Alligator mississippiensis: one gene and its partner. The protein of the gene in region 1 interacts with the protein of each later gene in a biochemical or structural test. Links are inferred from orthologs where the notes say so. Each region holds a gene or a part of one and is shown in the gene's direction. Other genes may lie near its edges.

What was found.
Region 2: of the proteins of SIK2 (region 1) and CRTC2, one has a biochemical effect on the other in vitro, tested with the Homo sapiens proteins (2 studies listed by BioGRID). The link is inferred for Alligator mississippiensis from reciprocal best matches to the Homo sapiens genes SIK2 and CRTC2.

The regions. Positions count from the first base shown.
Region 1 is NC_081839.1:31,499,936-31,508,141, forward strand, and holds the start of SIK2 (serine/threonine-protein kinase SIK2), read left to right. Parts: upstream 1-4,724; 5' UTR 4,725-4,777; coding exon 4,778-4,927; intron 4,928-8,206. UniProt on the Homo sapiens protein: Serine/threonine-protein kinase that plays a role in many biological processes such as fatty acid oxidation, autophagy, immune response or glucose metabolism.
Region 2 is NC_081838.1:13,053,324-13,061,500, forward strand, and holds the start of CRTC2 (CREB-regulated transcription coactivator 2), read left to right. Parts: upstream 1-4,558; 5' UTR 4,559-4,573; coding exon 4,574-4,759; intron 4,760-7,210; coding exon 7,211-7,312; intron 7,313-7,801; coding exon 7,802-7,918; intron 7,919-8,114; coding exon 8,115-8,176; intron 8,177-8,177. Other genes in the region: SLC39A1 (zinc transporter ZIP1), read left to right, coding at 462-660, 1,597-1,727, 2,156-2,845. UniProt on the Homo sapiens protein: Transcriptional coactivator for CREB1 which activates transcription through both consensus and variant cAMP response element (CRE) sites.

The DNA.
Region 1 (8,206 bases):
CACCAGTGACCTTTTCTGCCTGCTTTTCCTCTGTGTTAGGAAAGTTTCCAGCTCTAAGGAGATGGTCTGTGATCTGTTACCAAACATTCAGGTTTTCTTCTCTGCTGAAGACAGTAACTGCCATACCAGCAATGACTTGTGATGTGAGCACTTCTGGCCATTTGCTGAGATAGCTGATCAGGCCCATGGCATCATGGCCTCAAGGGGAACATTGTTAAATGGTCACATGAAGTCAATCATGTGCTTTTTCCATGCTGAACTGGGGAAAGATATGGTGATGATGGTGTGTGGGTCACGGAGGTCTTGTTAAGTGATTGACAGGTAACACAAGACTTTAAAGCAACCTCCACTTGAGCATCCATTGCTGGCCATAGTTATAGAGCTCATGGCTGTTGGTTTGTTCTAGTTCATATCAAAAGCAAGGTGTCTGTGTTTTGCCTGTAGCTCCTCTGTAATAAAAAGTTGGTGTGCCCCACATCCATCTAGGGAAAGATGGCTCTGTAGCCTAACACATACCAGCTAAGCTGGGTCTAGGCGTTTGGCATTATTTGACTGTTGCATTGTCAGTAATTCTCAGTATTTGTTGAGCAAGAAGCTTTGAATACTCCTTTGGTCAATGCAGAAATCATACTTGTGAGAACTGCAGTTACTTCCAAGCAGGAATCTGGTGACAATACAGGCAAGAGGAGCACAGCGCTGTCACACTTCTGGTTCCTGGCCTGTGCTCCTCCTCCTGTATAATCCCACCGACCGCCTGGCAATGTGCATTCCTATTTGGCCGAGCCCTTTTGCTTTAGCAGTGCTGCCAAAGGGCTGTGTGCACTGTGCACAGTTTGAAGCTGTGGTCCAAAGGCTACCCCCCTATTTTTCTGTAGCCTATATGCAAAGTAAGTGTTTCCCTTTGGGTGACTTTCTCAGCTCCAGCAAGCTCTCTGAAAGCAACTGCAACAGTCTGTTCAGTGTTGTCATCATGGATCTGGCTAAGTTGGGCTCCAAATCTGCAGTTTGAGACATGAATAGTCACCACAGAAGGTAAAACAGGAGTGCTAGGGTGCTGACCAAAGCTTTTTCCCTTTCAAAATTGGCTTGCCCAGCAGCTGTCCAGGATAAACGTGAGGTCCGTAACAGTCAGGGACGCACTCGGTGATCCACACGTCACCATTACAACCTGCATTTTCTCCTGATTCAGCATGGAAAAAGCTTGTGATTGACTTCATGGGATCATTTAACACTGCTCCAGTTGAGGCCGTTATGCCATCGCCCTGATAGACTACCTTAGCAAATGGCCAGAAGTAATACATCGTGAAAGTCTATTCTACAGCTGAAGCATAGTTTGAAACAAACCTTGCATGCCTTGATGGAAGACCTAAAAAAAAAATGCAATGCTTGAATGTCTTGCTGTGCTAATACCTTTGTAACTGCAACAGCCCAACCTAGGGAAGGTTTTGGTGCATTTTGTGAAATGATTTGCCCAAGAAAGACACCATGTAGAAAGCTTTGATTGCAGGTCTGCCGCAGTGACGTGTTTTCGTATGACCTGTAAGTGTGTGCCATGCTCTTCTGGTGTCTCTTCAAACACGCTGACGACATCCAGATAATACTGAACTCCAGACCGGTCATCAAGGATCACCGACACCATTCCCTGAAGAGCGCTGGGTGATGAGGCACGCCTGCCCGGTCCTCACTTTTAACACAGAAGTCCATCTCTGTGATAAATGCCATGACATCACATTGCCGGGGGTGTACATGCTGTAGATCAAGATCTGAATACATCTTTCTCCATCAGGTTCTCCAAACACCTTCATCTCTATGTGGAAGCGGAGGACTGTCAATGCCGCAGGCTTTATCTGAAGTGCAGGCAGCAAGAATACCTCCAGTCTTTGCTTCCTGTTACGATGGGTGGGACCCGCTCAGCACATTGTTTCTTCAATTATGTCATTCTGTTCCAGTTGTTTGAACTTTTGCATCCAGCGTCTCACAGAGTGGTAAGGGGGAGGCATGGGGGGGGTCATGGTTTTCATTCTGTATCTTTGGCGGGGCCATGCACGCTGCTAGCGATCCCATCGCTGCACTGGAGCAGCTGGAGGTTGTGAGGTTGTGGCTTGACTGTATTGCCGTGGGATTCCCATGCCCATCCTGCTTCATCTCACTTCCTCTGGAGTCGGCAGCAGCTGCCTGGCTGGGCTGGTTCTTGCTGTGCCTTGGCCCAATGCTGTTCATGTAACTAGAGGTGATTTACAGCCTTCTTATCCGAGTAGGAAGTGCCCTGTGAGGTGAGGTACGACCGTTTCCTCTGGGGGTGGATCCCAAATCATTTCATCTGCCAGACTCGCATGTACAACGTAGGTCTGCGGATTCACCCTGCGTCTCGGCACGCGGGCATCGTGCCTGGTGTTCAGCAATGGCATTTGCTTTGGGTATGAAGAAGCTCCCTGCTGCCTGGAGCGCGGTGACATGATTTCCACCTGGGCCCCTGCTCCCGCCTCGCTTGCTTTCCTCGGAGGAAAGAGGCATCAGTCGCTAGCGAGCACCGGCGTTCAGGCACAGCCTCTGAATCAGAGCTTCCTAGACCTTAAATGCTGGAGCCTGCGAGTGAGAGAGGAAGGGGGAAAAACAACCCCGGCCACAGCCTGTTCACTCTCCCTTTCAGCATCTGCTTTCTGCTACTGCGCGATGTGGGGTTTTGTGTTACGAATGTTTCTGAATCTTGGTCCAAATCTGCAGATCTCACTTCCCCTTGGTTTTGTGGCTCGGTTTTCTTAGGCAGCAGCACTGCTTGCACGTTGGGCCAGACCCCACCCCGGGTGCTGGTGACTCCCCCCAGCAGCTTGCTCAGTTCCTCATGGTTGCGGGCGGCTCGCTGGCGGGGGGAGGCTGATGCGAGTTTCCCTGTTGTCGTGCAGCGGTTCAGCCGCCGGGTACCCCCTCCCCGCAGCCAAACAGAGCGGTGCCCCCGCTCCCACTCGCTCAGCAGAGCAGGCGGTGCATGCACACGATATGCAAGGGACCGCAGCCCTGCCCGGGGAAGCCCCAGCCTCAGCCGTAGCCCGGGCCTTGCCTGCCAAGCCCAGATGTGCTTTCACTCTTAAGGGATGCTGCCCTTCTGCAGAAGGAAAAGCTGGGCCAGATGGACCCAGTAAAAGACAGCTCCTTTGTCGTCCTCAGCAATCCCTCGGTTCGAGGATGATCTCTACTGTGGTTCATAGATGGGTCTTGAGGCGAGTCCAATCCTCGAGCCAAAGACCCGGCCGCAGAAATTGCAGGTCTTCCTACGGGGAAGGGTAGGCTGTAGGCGAGGATTTCTCTGCTTTCCTTTCCTCCGCTCGCTCTTCTCCGCTTCGAGGGCGAGATGCTTTACCTCAAAACGGGATGCCGCTGGAGTTGGTTGGCAGCCAGATCCCCCTACTCGCCACGTCGGCATCCGTGCGCTTGAGGTCTGCCGTCGGGCGTCCTCGTAGCTGTGTCTTCCCGGGGGGGGCGATGAATCAAGCCACAAAGGAGCGATTTCCCAAGGGAGGCGCTGGCACGCCGGATCCGTGTCAACGTTGGTGCCCAGAGAGGCGGCCGGCTGCGGAGGTGGGGGAAGTGCCTCGGGCTCCATCCAGGAGGAGCGCGCGCCGACTGCAGGCGCTTCCCCAGCCTGACGAAGGGCGTTTGTGCCCGAAAGCTTGCAAAGAAGAATTTTTCCAACTGTTGGCGCTGGTCTAATAAAAGAGATCGGATTTACCCAGAGCCTCGTGCGCCGGTGGCCTGTGTCCCGCAGGTGTCTCTGCTCCTGTTCGCGCGGCGGCCGGGCGCTGCGAGCCTGGTCGGGGCCCGGACAGCAGGGACTGAGGGGGGCAGGGGCCTCTCTCCACCAGCCCTGAAGGGGGGGGGCACGCGCATGTGTATGTGTGCAAGCAAGTGTACAAGCCCCCTTTGCACCAGCCGTGGAAGGGGGACATGCGTGTGCGTGTGTGTGTGTGTGCAAACCCCTTTGCAGAACCCTGGAGGGGGGGCACGTGTGCAAGCAAGTGTGCAGGCCCCCTTTGCACAGCCCTGGAAGGGGGACATGTGTGTGTTTGTGTGCATGTGTGTAACCAAGTGTGTGAGGCCCCTTTGCATCAGCCGTGAAGTGGGGATTAATGTGTGTGTGTGTGTGCATGCAAGTGTGCAAGCCTCCTTTGCACTAGCCCTGGAGGCGGGACGTGTGTGTGTGTGTGTGTGTGTGCAAGCCCCCTTTGCAGCACTCTGGAGGGGGGGCGCGTGTGTGCAAGCAAGTGTGCAAGCCTTCTTTTGCACTAGCCCCGGAGGGGGGACATGTGTATGTGCGTGAAACAAGTGTGCAAGCCCCCTTTGCAGAACCCTGGGGGCTCATGTGTGCAAGCAAGCGTGCAAACCCCTTTTGCACCAGCCCTGGAGGGGGGGGGACGCATGCGTGTGCAAGCCTCCTTTGCAGAACCCTAGGGGAAGGCGCATGTGTGCAAGCAAGCGTGCAAGCCCCCTCTGCAGCAGCCCTGGAGGGGGGGGCACGTGCGTGCGCGTGCCCGCGTGCAATCCCCTGGGCCCCAGGGGCGGGGAGGGGAGCCCCGGCGGGAAGAGCCCGGGGAGCCCCGGCGAGGCGGGGGGGAACAGCTCCGCGGCGGGGGCTCCGGTTGCCATGGCGAGGCGCCGCCCCCGGTGACGCGCGCGGTGACGCGGGGGGGGCGGGGCGGGGCGCGCGGCGGCCGGGCGCCGCAGACGGAGCGGGAGCGGGAGCCGAGCGGAGCCGCCGCCGCCGCCGCCGCGAGCGCCGAGCATGGTGATGGCCGAGCCCCGGCGGCCCCCCGCGCTGCTGCCCCGCGGGCCCGGGCCCGTGCGCGTCGGCTTCTACGACATCGAGGGCACGCTGGGCAAGGGCAACTTCGCCGTGGTCAAGCTGGCGCGGCACCGCATCACGCGCAGCGAGGTCAGCCTCCCCCGCCCCAGCCCCAACGGCCACCACGGCTCCTGCCCCCCAGCCCCCGCGACAGCACCGCCACACAGTTATTTTGGGGGGGGTTTAATTTGTGCTCGGGTGGATCGGGACGCGGCGTGCGGGAGGGACCGGGGTGTCCTGCCCCCCCCCCAGCGCCGGGGTTTGCACCCTGCGTTTTAACACCCCGCCGTAACGGGGCTCGGTTTTCCAGGGTGACAAAGTTTTGCATCTAAAGACGGGGATTTTTTCCTGCTCTTTTCACCGGTGAGATGGACGTGGGGCGCCGGGGCGCCCTGCAGCGAGAGGACAGGACCAAGCGTGGCCTGGCTGGTGGGGTGGGTCGGAGGAGGGAGGAGAGGAAAATAACTTTTTAGGAAGGGCAGAGGGCCGTCCCACCTGAGCACGGCACAAGTTGGTCGCGACGCTGGGCCCCGCACGAAAGGGACCGGGCGTCGCGCTCGGCCGAGCGGCTCTTCCCGGCGGGAAGACGCTCCGATTTCCAGCCGGACCGTCGTCCTTGCGTGTCCTGGGGTCGTTCGCTCCCCAAGTCGCCCCCTTGCACAGCCGGCGGGTCTCCGTGCAGCTCGCGATGGGGGACACGTAGCTTGTATCGGGCTTGTATCAACGTTTTCCTTGCGTGTCTGCACTGCAGGAAATGCCGCGCTCCGTTTCTGTTGAGACTCGTTTGGAAAAATCATTTTAGAAAAGTCTTTCCTTATGTGAGAGTCTCCTCCGTTTTCCGGCCCCGGCTCACGCGTTATGCGCCGGGTTCCCTTCCTTGCAGCCTGGGTACCTTGGGGCTGCCTGTTTACTGGAGGCAGTCGCTTCGTTTGTTTGTGCACTTTGTCTTCACTTCCACCGAGTCAACGAGTCTGGCAAACCCAAGCTTATTTTCCAGTCCAGTTATTTAGCAAGCTCTGTATGTGGGGAGTACCTGAGCCTTGACTGCCGTGCAAAATCCGGCCTGCGCTTGAGAAGCTGCGCGCCGGATTTGTGCCTCGCAAACATCAGCCATAAACCGAAAACTCAATATTGCTAGCGCCAGATAAAAGTGAAATGCAAACTGAACCAGCATGAGTGCATTAGAAGGGAAAGTAGGCTTGAAGGTAGATATGCAAATGAGTTTTGCATTAAACGTGAAACTTTATATTAATGCAACACTTAAACATGGGTAATTAAGCACTTGAGTGAAGAAAGTTGACAGGAATGAAGGAGTTGCATTTGTAACAACAGCGGGTAGTTCAGCGCCCTTCTTCCAGCAGGATCGTTGAACGAGGCTGCCTTGTATTCACAACCTTTTGTTCTGCTTATTGTCTGTACTTCTTAGGCTCTGAAGTTTGTAACAGGTCCTTTCATGCAGCCTGTGTTGTATCACAGGATGTTTCTGTGATCAGAGGATGAGTTGGCTAATGAAGTATCCACCAAGGAGCAGAACTTATGGTTTTGCTCAGGACAGAGGCGAAAATAAGTCCACTGGAGGAAACCAAAATAGCCGAGAGGCATAGAAAAAACACCCATGAGAGGGACATTTAGGAAGATTAGAGCTACTTACTTTTCGAGGAGAGTAAATGGTGACAAGAACCCTAAAATAATAGGTAAAACCCAGTCTCCTCTTGTTTACTGTCTCCTAAGAGGGAGCAGACACCAGCTGCAATACGAGCAATACACTTCTCGCGTGCCGCTTATCTTCATTTGGGTTAAGTGTACAGGCACTCTTGGGCCCCAGTGCCTACCCTGTAACCTAATTGTGCTTCTGTTGTACTCTGTTTAAGTGCATAATTGGTGAAATTTGGACCAGGAGCTGTCAATTTTGAGGCTTCTGAAGAAGCCCCGCACTGACTGGGTCCTGTCAGTTTTGAGGCTGCTATTAGAGGCAAAAGGCATTCTGAGAAACAAAGTACGGGACCTTAATGAGATCTAAGAAGCGTAGCGTAGGCTGCTGCGGCAGTTAATGAGCATGGTGTGTAATGAGTTCAGGTAAGTGCAGAAACTTTTTTTTTTATTATTATTATTATTATTATTATTACTATTAATCCTTAGGTTATGCACTTTAAATAGTCCCCGGTACTTAAAAGTGTAACTAACCCATGGAACTGCCTCCCCAAAGACTGAGTCTGAAAGCTGTCTAAGGATGAGTACATGATGATGTTAGCTATGGTGTGGTGCAGGAGAATAAACACTTCTGACTAATCAGGTCTCTGGGTTCAGGATATAAGCCAGCCACCAACTGCCAGAACTTGGAAAAACTTCTCCGCTAGGCATGTGGTACCTAACTGTCTGTTCGATGTGGTTTGCACCTTACAGTGAAGCATCTGGTGATGGCTTCTGTAGGAGATGGGATACAAGATGAGACGGGCCTTCCAGCGTACTTCCGAATGCATAGCGGTGTACTACTCAGTACGTGGAAGGATAGCACCTTTTTTCCTACCTTCACTGTGCCTCTCAGTTTGGTTTATATCCAGAACAAATTGATCCAAAATAGCCTAGAACTGATGTACCTGCCTTTGTGCAAACCCTTAATGCAGAACTGCCGCAGCGTTGCAAAATGGGCTTGCACCAGCATGACTTAATCCAGGTGTGAATAAGTCTTTAATGTGGTGCATCTTTAGTAGAGATTTGTATCAGGTTAACTATACTAGGCATAACCTAGTTAAGGGATAGGGCCTAAGGCTTTTGGCTGGCATATGCAACCCACACATCACCTGCAAATAAGAGAAATTGGGGGCTTTTTTTCTGTGTCATAAGGCCCTGAAGGGTCTTCAGAATATTTTGTGCTTGAGTAGTTTCAGGGCTTATTTTTCCCGAAAGACTCTGGGTGGCTGGAGAACTAGAAGCATAGCGTCCAGACTAAAGAGAAACCAAGAGGTTGTGGAGCAGCCAGATTTCGAACCCAAGACTAGCACTTTGGTTTGACATCTCTTTAAAGCTAGATGTCCAGCGGTTTCAGTTCCCTGCCCTTCCTGTCCAGGGTGAAGGCAGCTCCCACTCCACTTCTCTAAGCCTCCAATAAGAACAAGATAGGAAATGATGATCCTGACATTTCTATGTTTAAAAAGCAAGAAGTATTTCAAAAGGCCTTCAAGCTTTTAGACTTCTTTAAACAGAAAAATAAACAAGGGCGCAATGCAGCAGTGTTTTTTGCCTTTTCAAGTCACCTTTCAGGTTGTTTTAAAGCCCATAGTTACCCTAAATCCTGAAGTTCTTGTGATACTGGGGGGAAAGACTTCTGCAATCAAAAGTGATTTGTAGCCTGAACAAGACCCATCTGCA
Region 2 (8,177 bases), on another chromosome or scaffold:
ATTCCGGGAATGGGTGGCCGTGGCTGGAACAGAATGAGTCAGCTGGGTTGGGAGCATGAGGGCAGGAAGCGCCTGGTGCTGCAGCACTGGTGGGAGAAGGGGGGCCTGCTGTGTCCACTGCTCTTGCAGGATGCTGGGAAGAAACTTGAGCTGCCTGGCTCTTTTTATCTGGCTTGGGCAGGGGGGCCACCCCAGCATCACCCCTCACGCAGCTGGAGGCTGGGGCACCCAGGCCCGTTCCTGGCAGTGCTATCATTGGCCTCAAAGGTCCCACTGACCCTGCCACTATTGCAGGGCTGAAGACGGATGCCACGCTGAGGATGAGACACACCCCTGTGGCAGTGAAGGCTCCTGGCAGCTAAGGGCAGGGCTGTGGAGGGCACCCAGAGCCGACTGCGGGGGGCTCGGCAGCAGAAGAGATTTCCAGCCTGCTGGGAGCTGCCCACCTTCCCTCTGGAGCCATGCCTGTGTGGCTGGGCCCTGGGGCTAACCCAGAGCAGATGGCATGGAGCCCCGGTGCTGGCGTGGCTGTGAAGCGCTCTCCAACAGGCTTGGAGGTGAAGCTGGGGTCGCTGGTGACGCTGCTGCTGCTGACCATCGTCTGTGGCCTGGCCCCACTCTGCATCTTCCGGCACCCCGGTAGTGCAGCCGGCTCCTCCGGTGAGGCTTGTGCCAGAGCTCCTGGGGGGCCAGAAGTCTCCAGGACAAGGCCTGTCTGGCCGGCAGCGGGAGGGCAGGGGGTATGACTGCGGTCAGGAACCAGGCCATGATTTTACCACCTGGGCCTCCAGGGAAACCATGTCTGGCTGCCAAGCCCAAGAGACAGGCATGGTGGCTCGGGGTCCTGGTAGCTGGGGCTGGTCCTGAGCCAGCCCCCATGCCTGTGGCTGCAGCACAGAGGTCCCAGCAGAGCAGCACCTGGCCCCGCTGGCAGGAAGGGCTCTTAGTGCATGGGGAGCTAGATGAGCCCTAAGGGATTGGCCCCTGTGCCCTGAAGGAAACCGGGGCTAGGCTGTTGGTCCAGGGGCCTCAGGCTCTGGACCCTGTGAACCAGGGTTCCTCTAGGTCATGATTCTGGACAGAGCGGGTTTGGGAATGCTGGGTGCTCTCGAGAGTAGGGCCCCATCCTGCTAGTGCTTACTGGGCAGAGCCAGCCCTGGCCCCAGCAGGGGACCTGCCCCCAGCAGGAGCACCGCTCCCATTACACAGACAGTGAGCGAGGCCTGGGAGTGGGGGAGGGAGTGGTGTGACCCAGGTCATGCAGAGTCAGCAGCAGAACCTGGCCCGTACCCCGGGGTGCAGTGGGGTTGTGTGTTGGGTTTCCCTGCCTGGGGTCACCCCCCTGCCCACAGCATGTGCTGTGCCAGGCATCACTAGGGAAAGGAGGCACCGCTTTGCACCCAGGCTGTGGATGCATGGCCTGTGTTCTGGGTAACACTGGGCTGGGGCATTTCCCCTGGCCCTGGGGGCAGGTGAAGGGTGCAGGCCCTTGAAGCTCTGCAGCCAGATCCCTGGCCAGGGACCTCGCTGCTGGCTGCCTCAGGGGTGGGGGCAGTGAACTGCGTCAGCATCCCCCCACAACCCTTTTCTGGACAGACGCACGCAGGAGGTTCCTGAGCCTGGTAAGCTGCTTTGCGGGTGGTGTGTTTCTGGCCACCTGCCTCCTGGACCTGATCCCCGACTACCTGGAGGGCATTGATGAGGCGCTGGAGAACCTGAGAGTCACGGTGAGCCTGTGCGGAGCAGCTTCCCCCTTCCCTGCACCTGGGCTATGTGTGTTGGGGCAGTGTGTGTGGGGTAGGGGGCTCCCAGGGGCATGGAGGACCCTGGGCAGGGGTTGGCAGGGCAGGAAAGGGGCGGAAGGCTGCCCTGGGGACGGCTGTCGGCTCCAGCTTGCTGCCTGACCGGGTGCGATCCCCGGTGGAGGCTGGGAGGAGGCCCTGTTCCAGCCGCTCTCCAGGGTGACTCACTGGAGCTGCCTCCCGCCCCCGCCCTTCTCCCAGCAGCTTCCTGGCAGCCCCGGGTGGACTCTGCTTCTCAGCAGTGATGCATTGGCTGCTCTGGCCCCTCTGCTCCCCCTTCCCTGTGCAGGGGCTGCTGCGAGGGCTGAGCCATGCTCCCCCTGCTGATGTGGCTCCTACCCCTTCCCTCGCAGCTCCAGTTCCCCCTGCAGGAATTCATCCTGGCTATGGGCTTCTTCCTGGTGCTGGTGATGGAGCAGATCGTGCTGGCCTACAGGGACCAGGCAGGCTCCCTGGAGGAAACACAGGCGCTGCTGGGGGGCTCATCGCAAGATGGCTCTGTGCAGGCCCAGCCCTGGTCGGATGGGCCCCTGCGCTCAGCGCATGGCCCTGGCCCTGACCGGCCCCACGTGCACATCGACTTCAACGCGCACTCAGCCATCCGGTCCTTCGCGCTGGTGCTGGCACTCTCGCTGCACTCAGTCTTTGAGGGTCTGGCCGTGGGGCTGCAGGAGGCTGGTGCCAAGGCCCTCGAGATCTGCCTGGCATTGCTGGTCCACAAGTGCATTGTGGCCTTCAGCCTCTCGCTGAAGCTGCTACAAGGTCAGCTGCACCCGCGCGCCGTGGTCGGCTGCCTGCTGCTCTTCGCCCTAATGTCCCCACTGGGCATTGGGCTGGGCGTGGCACTGACGGAGACAGCGGCCGCACTGCCACAGCTCTCACGCAGCGTGCTGGAGGGGCTGGCAGCCGGCACCTTCGTCTACATCACCTTCCTGGAGATCCTGCCCCATGAGCTCGGCTCCCCGGAGCAGCGCATCCTCAAGGTCATCCTGCTCATCGCCGGCTTTGCCCTCGTCACCGGCATCCTCTTCATCAAGATCTGACTGGAGGGTCCTGTGGGTAGTGCACACAGCTCATTGCAGCACCAAGGGTTGGGGGTGCAGTCAGCTGTGTGTGTGTGTGTGTGTGTGTGTGTGTGTGTGCGCGCGATGGGGTTGCAGGGAGCCTACGTCACCTGTCCTGTGGCTTGGGAATCCCCTCCCCGCAGACTCCCATGGGCAGGGGATTCCCAAGCCAGGGCCACAGACCCAGGGTCGGGCCATTCACTGGCCCATCACCCCCTGCCTGCAGTGGGGGATCACCCTGGGGGCTCAGGGGCCTGCCCCTGCAGCGCGCAGGCCAGACCCAGTGCCCCCAGGGCCAGAGCAGCCCTGGTCACAGCAGCACTCCAGAGTCTGGTGCGCGCTGTGGGCTTTGCCCAGCCACCCCTGTACCCTTCGTGTTTAAGTGCCAAACTTCCCTCGCCCTTCCCAAAGCTGCGGACCATGTGGGGCCACTGACAGAGGGACAAAGGGCCTGAGCCCAGGATCGGGGCCTGTGACTCTCTTGGGACACGGGCCTCGGCTCAGGCTGTCCAATAACACAGGAGGAGGCAGGACACCAGCTGCAGCTGCTGGTTTCTCTGCTTGTTCTCACTGGCAGCTGCAATGACACTGGGCTGGGCGGGGAACGTGCCAGGCTGGTCAGGGTGGCAGCCGGGCAGAGCTGAGTGCTGTTTGTAACAAGTTGGCTGGGTCCCTGTCTGGCTCTTAGCAGACCTGGGCTCCCCCGTCTTTGCCACCGGCCCACAGGATGACCTTGGGCAAGTCCCCTCGCTGCTCTGGGCCTGTTTCCCCCTCTAAAATGGGGCCCACGATCCTGACCTCTGGGAAGCGCTTTGGGGTGGAGACTTTATGGAGCCGCGGTGGGGGCGATCCCTGGGAATCAGCCAGGCGACGCCTGCTCCCCCCGCCAGGTCCCACCCGCGCTGCAGTGACCCACGGCTGGCAGCAAGCCCCAGGCCCCGGGGGCTCTTGCCCTTGGTGGAAGTGCTGCCGTGGCCCTTGGGAGCCCACGGCACTATTTTTTTACGCTCTCAGTCCCCTTCCCAGGCTATTTTCCAGCCTGCCCCTTGTTAAGCAAGCCCCAGGTGCGGGCACAGAGTCTATTTTACTAACACCCTTCTCCGCCCCTGGGCTGCTCCGACAGCCCCGGGGGTGCCAATAAAATGACTTTCTGCATTGCTGTCTCCGTCGTGTCTGTGCCTCGCGGAGCCCAGCGCCTGCGCTCAGCCCCAGGGGATGCTCCTGGCTGTGAAGTCCGGCCCGGCTGGGGGGCACCGGGGCTGGTGGGGGGTGGTCGCTTCCCAGCTGCCCCAGGGGACTTCGGTGTGGCCGAGGAGCCGTGCAGGCAGGGGCTCGCCTAACAGCCGGGTGGGGTGCTCGGCGCTGCACCCACTTCGCGCTGTATCCGTGGTGTTCCGCGAACACCGGTCTGACGCCCCCTGCAGGCCGCCGTGCTGGGCCGGGCGCGCGGGGCACGCCGGGAGCTGTAGTCCGCGCGCCCCGCCCGGCCCAGGCGCTTCCCCTCGCGGCGCACTGCGGCTCCCGGCGGCCCCCGCGGTGTTTCCCTCCGGCGCGCGCGGGGGCCGCTGGGACTCGGAGTCCGCTTCCGCCCCTCGGCCCCGCGGCGCGGGTGGGGTCGCCCCGGCCCGGAACTCCCGCTCCCGTCGTGCCCCGCGGCGCGGCCTGGGCCCTGCGAGCGGCGGCGGCGGAGCGGCCCGAGCAGGGAAGATGGCGGCGGCGGGCGCGGGGGCCGGGGCCGGGGGCTCCGGGGCTGGGGCCGGGCCGGGCTCCGCGGCCGGCGCCGGCGCCTCCAACCCGCGCAAGTTCAGCGAGAAGATCGCGCTGCAGAAGCAGCGGCAAGCGGAGGAGACCGCGGCCTTCGAGGAGGTGATGATGGAGATCGGCTCCACCCGGGTGAGCGGCGCCGGATCGGGGCCGGGGCGGCGCTGCCATGGCAACGCGGATGCGCGGGGGCCGGGTCGGGCCGGGGCTGCGCAACAACCCCCGCTCACGTGGGGCCCGGGGCCGCCCGCCGCGGCCGGGCACAGGCCCCCGGGGAGGGGCCGCGGGCAGGTGTCCCCGCCACGTGCCGGGCCTGGCCGCCTGGGCTCGGGCTCGGGGGTGCTCCTCCAGGATCCTCCACCAGCTCGGTGGCGGCGCCCCCCGGGGCAGTCCGGGACCCGCCGCTGGGACCCTGCCCTAAGCCGCGTCTAGGGCTCCGGACAAGACTCCCCAACTCGTGGGACCCCCCACGGCCCCCAGTCCCCCGGAGGCAGCTGCGGCTAAACCTCCCCGTGCCGGGGTCCGGATCCTGGCTGGGAGCTCTGCGCCGTGGGGCCGGGCTGGAGGCGAGGCGGAGGAGTGGGTGGGCGCTGGGGGAGTCAGCGGCTCCCTCCCACGCAGGTGGGCGCGCACCGGGCAAGGCCCAATGGCAGCTCCGCAGCTTGCCCTGGAAGCGGCAGCCGCGGCGTCCCGGGATGTGGGTCACGGCAAACGCCTTCCTGCTTCTCACGATGAGGAAGTCGCTGTCTTCCATGGAGGGGCAGGCCCTCGCCTGGCTGGAGGGGCTGCCGGGCTTGGCATGGGGAATGTGCCAGCCGCGGGAAGGGGGCTCAGGCCCCATGTCCAGCCCTAAGGACTGTCTGGGCCGGGACTGAGCAGAGCTGGCTCTGCAGTTGGCCCTGGGGCTGTGTGCAGACAGCAGCATCCCCGAGCGGGTGCCTGGCAGACCCCGGGCTGAATTGGGCATTGTCACGCTTGATCTTGGTGTTGCTCGTGCGGGCAGAGTGGTGCTGGCTCCCTCCTGGCCTGGGCACTGGCAGTGGTGCAGTGTCTGTTGTGTGCAGGGCTCGGGGCAGCGCGTGCCCCTTCCAGAGCCGCGGCTGGGCCCTCCCTCTCGCCCCCCACAGCCATAACCCGGTGGCCAGGAGGAGAGGGTCTGGTCCAGGAAGCCTGGCTCGCCCTGCATGCTCGTGCCTTGCTCAGGCCTGTCTTGGCTGCCTGCATGGCCCCAGGGGGTTGGTAAGGGGCTGCTCCCAGAGCAAAGTGTCCCTACTGGGGATGTGGCATCTGCCAGGCTTGTCCCTTGCCCCACAGCTTGATGCCCTCAACATGGGGCCCAGGTGTGGCCCCTGACCTGCATCAGTGCTGCCCAGCTCTCCTGTGACAGGCCAGGGGCAGCGGCTGCCTAGGGAGCTCCTTGCCTAGGGTGCCCTAGGTCCTACCCTGCTCCTGGAAATGGCACCACAGGCGTTTGGTTTCCTCTGGGCTTCCCCCTCCCGGGCATGGACTCCGTTATCTCCAGCCTGTGGTTTTGCAATGACTCCCTCCTGCCAGACTTCCCCGCCCTCGCCCGGCCTTGATTTCGGGCTTCCACTGACAGTGGATGTGGCTACAGCAAGCTCTTCTGCTCAGCGAGGCAGAGGGGGTGTTGCACAGGGGTCCTGGGCTTGGGGGCCACCACAGTGTGTGGTGTGCCTACCTCTGGGGAGTTCTGATGGGCTGAAGGGGCACACGAGGGGGCTAGGGGGTCAGCCCCTCAGCAGCAGAGGGCCCAGCTGGGCTCTGGACTTACCCATACATCTGGTCTGGCTGGAGGTGGGTCTGGGGTTTGCATCCTCCTGTGCCAACATGCTGTCTCCCACTTGCCCCACAAGGGAGTGAGGCTGGGCCCAGCCCTGGACAGAACCTCCCCGTAGGCTCGTTCCGAACAGCAGGCCCGAAGGCCAGCCCGTTATCTGGCTGCCCAGTTGGGTGGCCTTCCCTGGGGCTGGGGGTGGGGTCTGGCTACACAGACCTGGGCCTCCTTAGTGCCATCTGCCTGCTCCGGACGCACCCCTCTCCCCATGCTCCCCTGCGTGCCACCCTGGGGCTCCTGGGGCCGCAGCTCTGGGAAAAGATGTTAGCCCTGGGCCTGTGTGCCCAGGAGCAGAGCAGGCTTCTGCATGTGAAGCCTCTTCCTGCCCCAACCCTGCTCTTCACTCTTCGGGTAGCTTCCAAAGTTTAAAAGTGGGAGTCCCCTGTTCCACCTGCTGCAGGCTTACCAGCACCATGGGGAGGCGGCTTCAAGGGGCTGGTGGGCAGGTCCAGCACAGGGTGCTGCCACCTGCCAGCCAGGGGTCAGAAAGCCTGGATTTCCTTCCTGGCTCTAGGAGGAACTAGAGCTGCTCTCAGGCCCTCTGCGTGCTTGTCTATGGATTGCTGCCTGGCTGAGCCACGCGGGTACTGACGTGAGGGCCCAGCCCAACTTCCTCTTTCTGAATGGGCAGTGGGTGGCAAAGGCACCGCAGCACGGTGGTCCTGGGGGGCAGCCTCACATGCTGCGTTTTGTGCACTCTAACCTAAGCCCTGTCCCCTCTTGTCCAGTTGCAGGCCCAGAAGCTGAGGCTGGCTCACAGCCGGGGACCCTACTACAGTGGCTCACTGCCCAATGTCAACCAGATCGGGAGCGGCGTGTCTGAGTTCCAGGTAAGCGCTCTTGGGCCCCAGGGCTCCTGTGCAGGCATGGGCAGGCCCTACACTGTCTGCTGCTGGCAGACTCCCCTCCTCCCCAAAGAGCACACCCAGCAGCAGTGAAGGGCTGGAGGCCTGCATGGAGGGGCTCCGGGTAGGGTCATGTGCTGCTGGACCTGGCAGCGTGGAGTGAGGGGAAGGGGCAGGCCTGGAGAGAGCTGTGAATTCCAGCCTGGGGAGGAGGTGCCCGCAGGGCCCAGGACTCCCCTGTCTTCCTCTGTGGGCATGACCCTACTCCCTGCATCTGTGGGGCCTGGTGCTGCCATCCATGGCGTGTGCTTGGTAGGAGCAGAGAAGAGGTCTTTTGCAGGTGCCTTGGCAATGTTCCTTGGCAGAGAGGATGGGAAGGGGGGGCAGCGGCTGTCCCTCTGCTGTGGCCCCCACCCTTGTGGCCATGCCTTCTTTCTGACTCCCCCTTTCTGACATCCCCTTGTGTCCCCGCAGGGCCCCTTGCATTCGCCTTTGGATTCGGCCCGCAGCACGCGGCACCACGGCCTGGTGGAGCGGGTGCAGCGGGACCCACGCCGGATGATGTCGCCCTTGCGCCGATACATGCGGCAGATATCCTTTAACATGCATTGTGGGGGGTGATGGTGCTGCCTCCTCATGTGTACGGCTCCCCTCTGGGTCTCAGGGATTAATGTGTGTGGGCAGAGTGCTGGCTGGGGTCACGTGCTGATGCACTGTGCCTATGGCCCCTTCCCCCTCTTCTGCCCAACGCCACTTCTCCCCATGTGGTCCTTAACTCTGTTTTCACATTGACAGCTCTCCCTACAGCCCAGCCTATCTGTCACCCCCACCGGAGCCCAGCTGGAGGAGG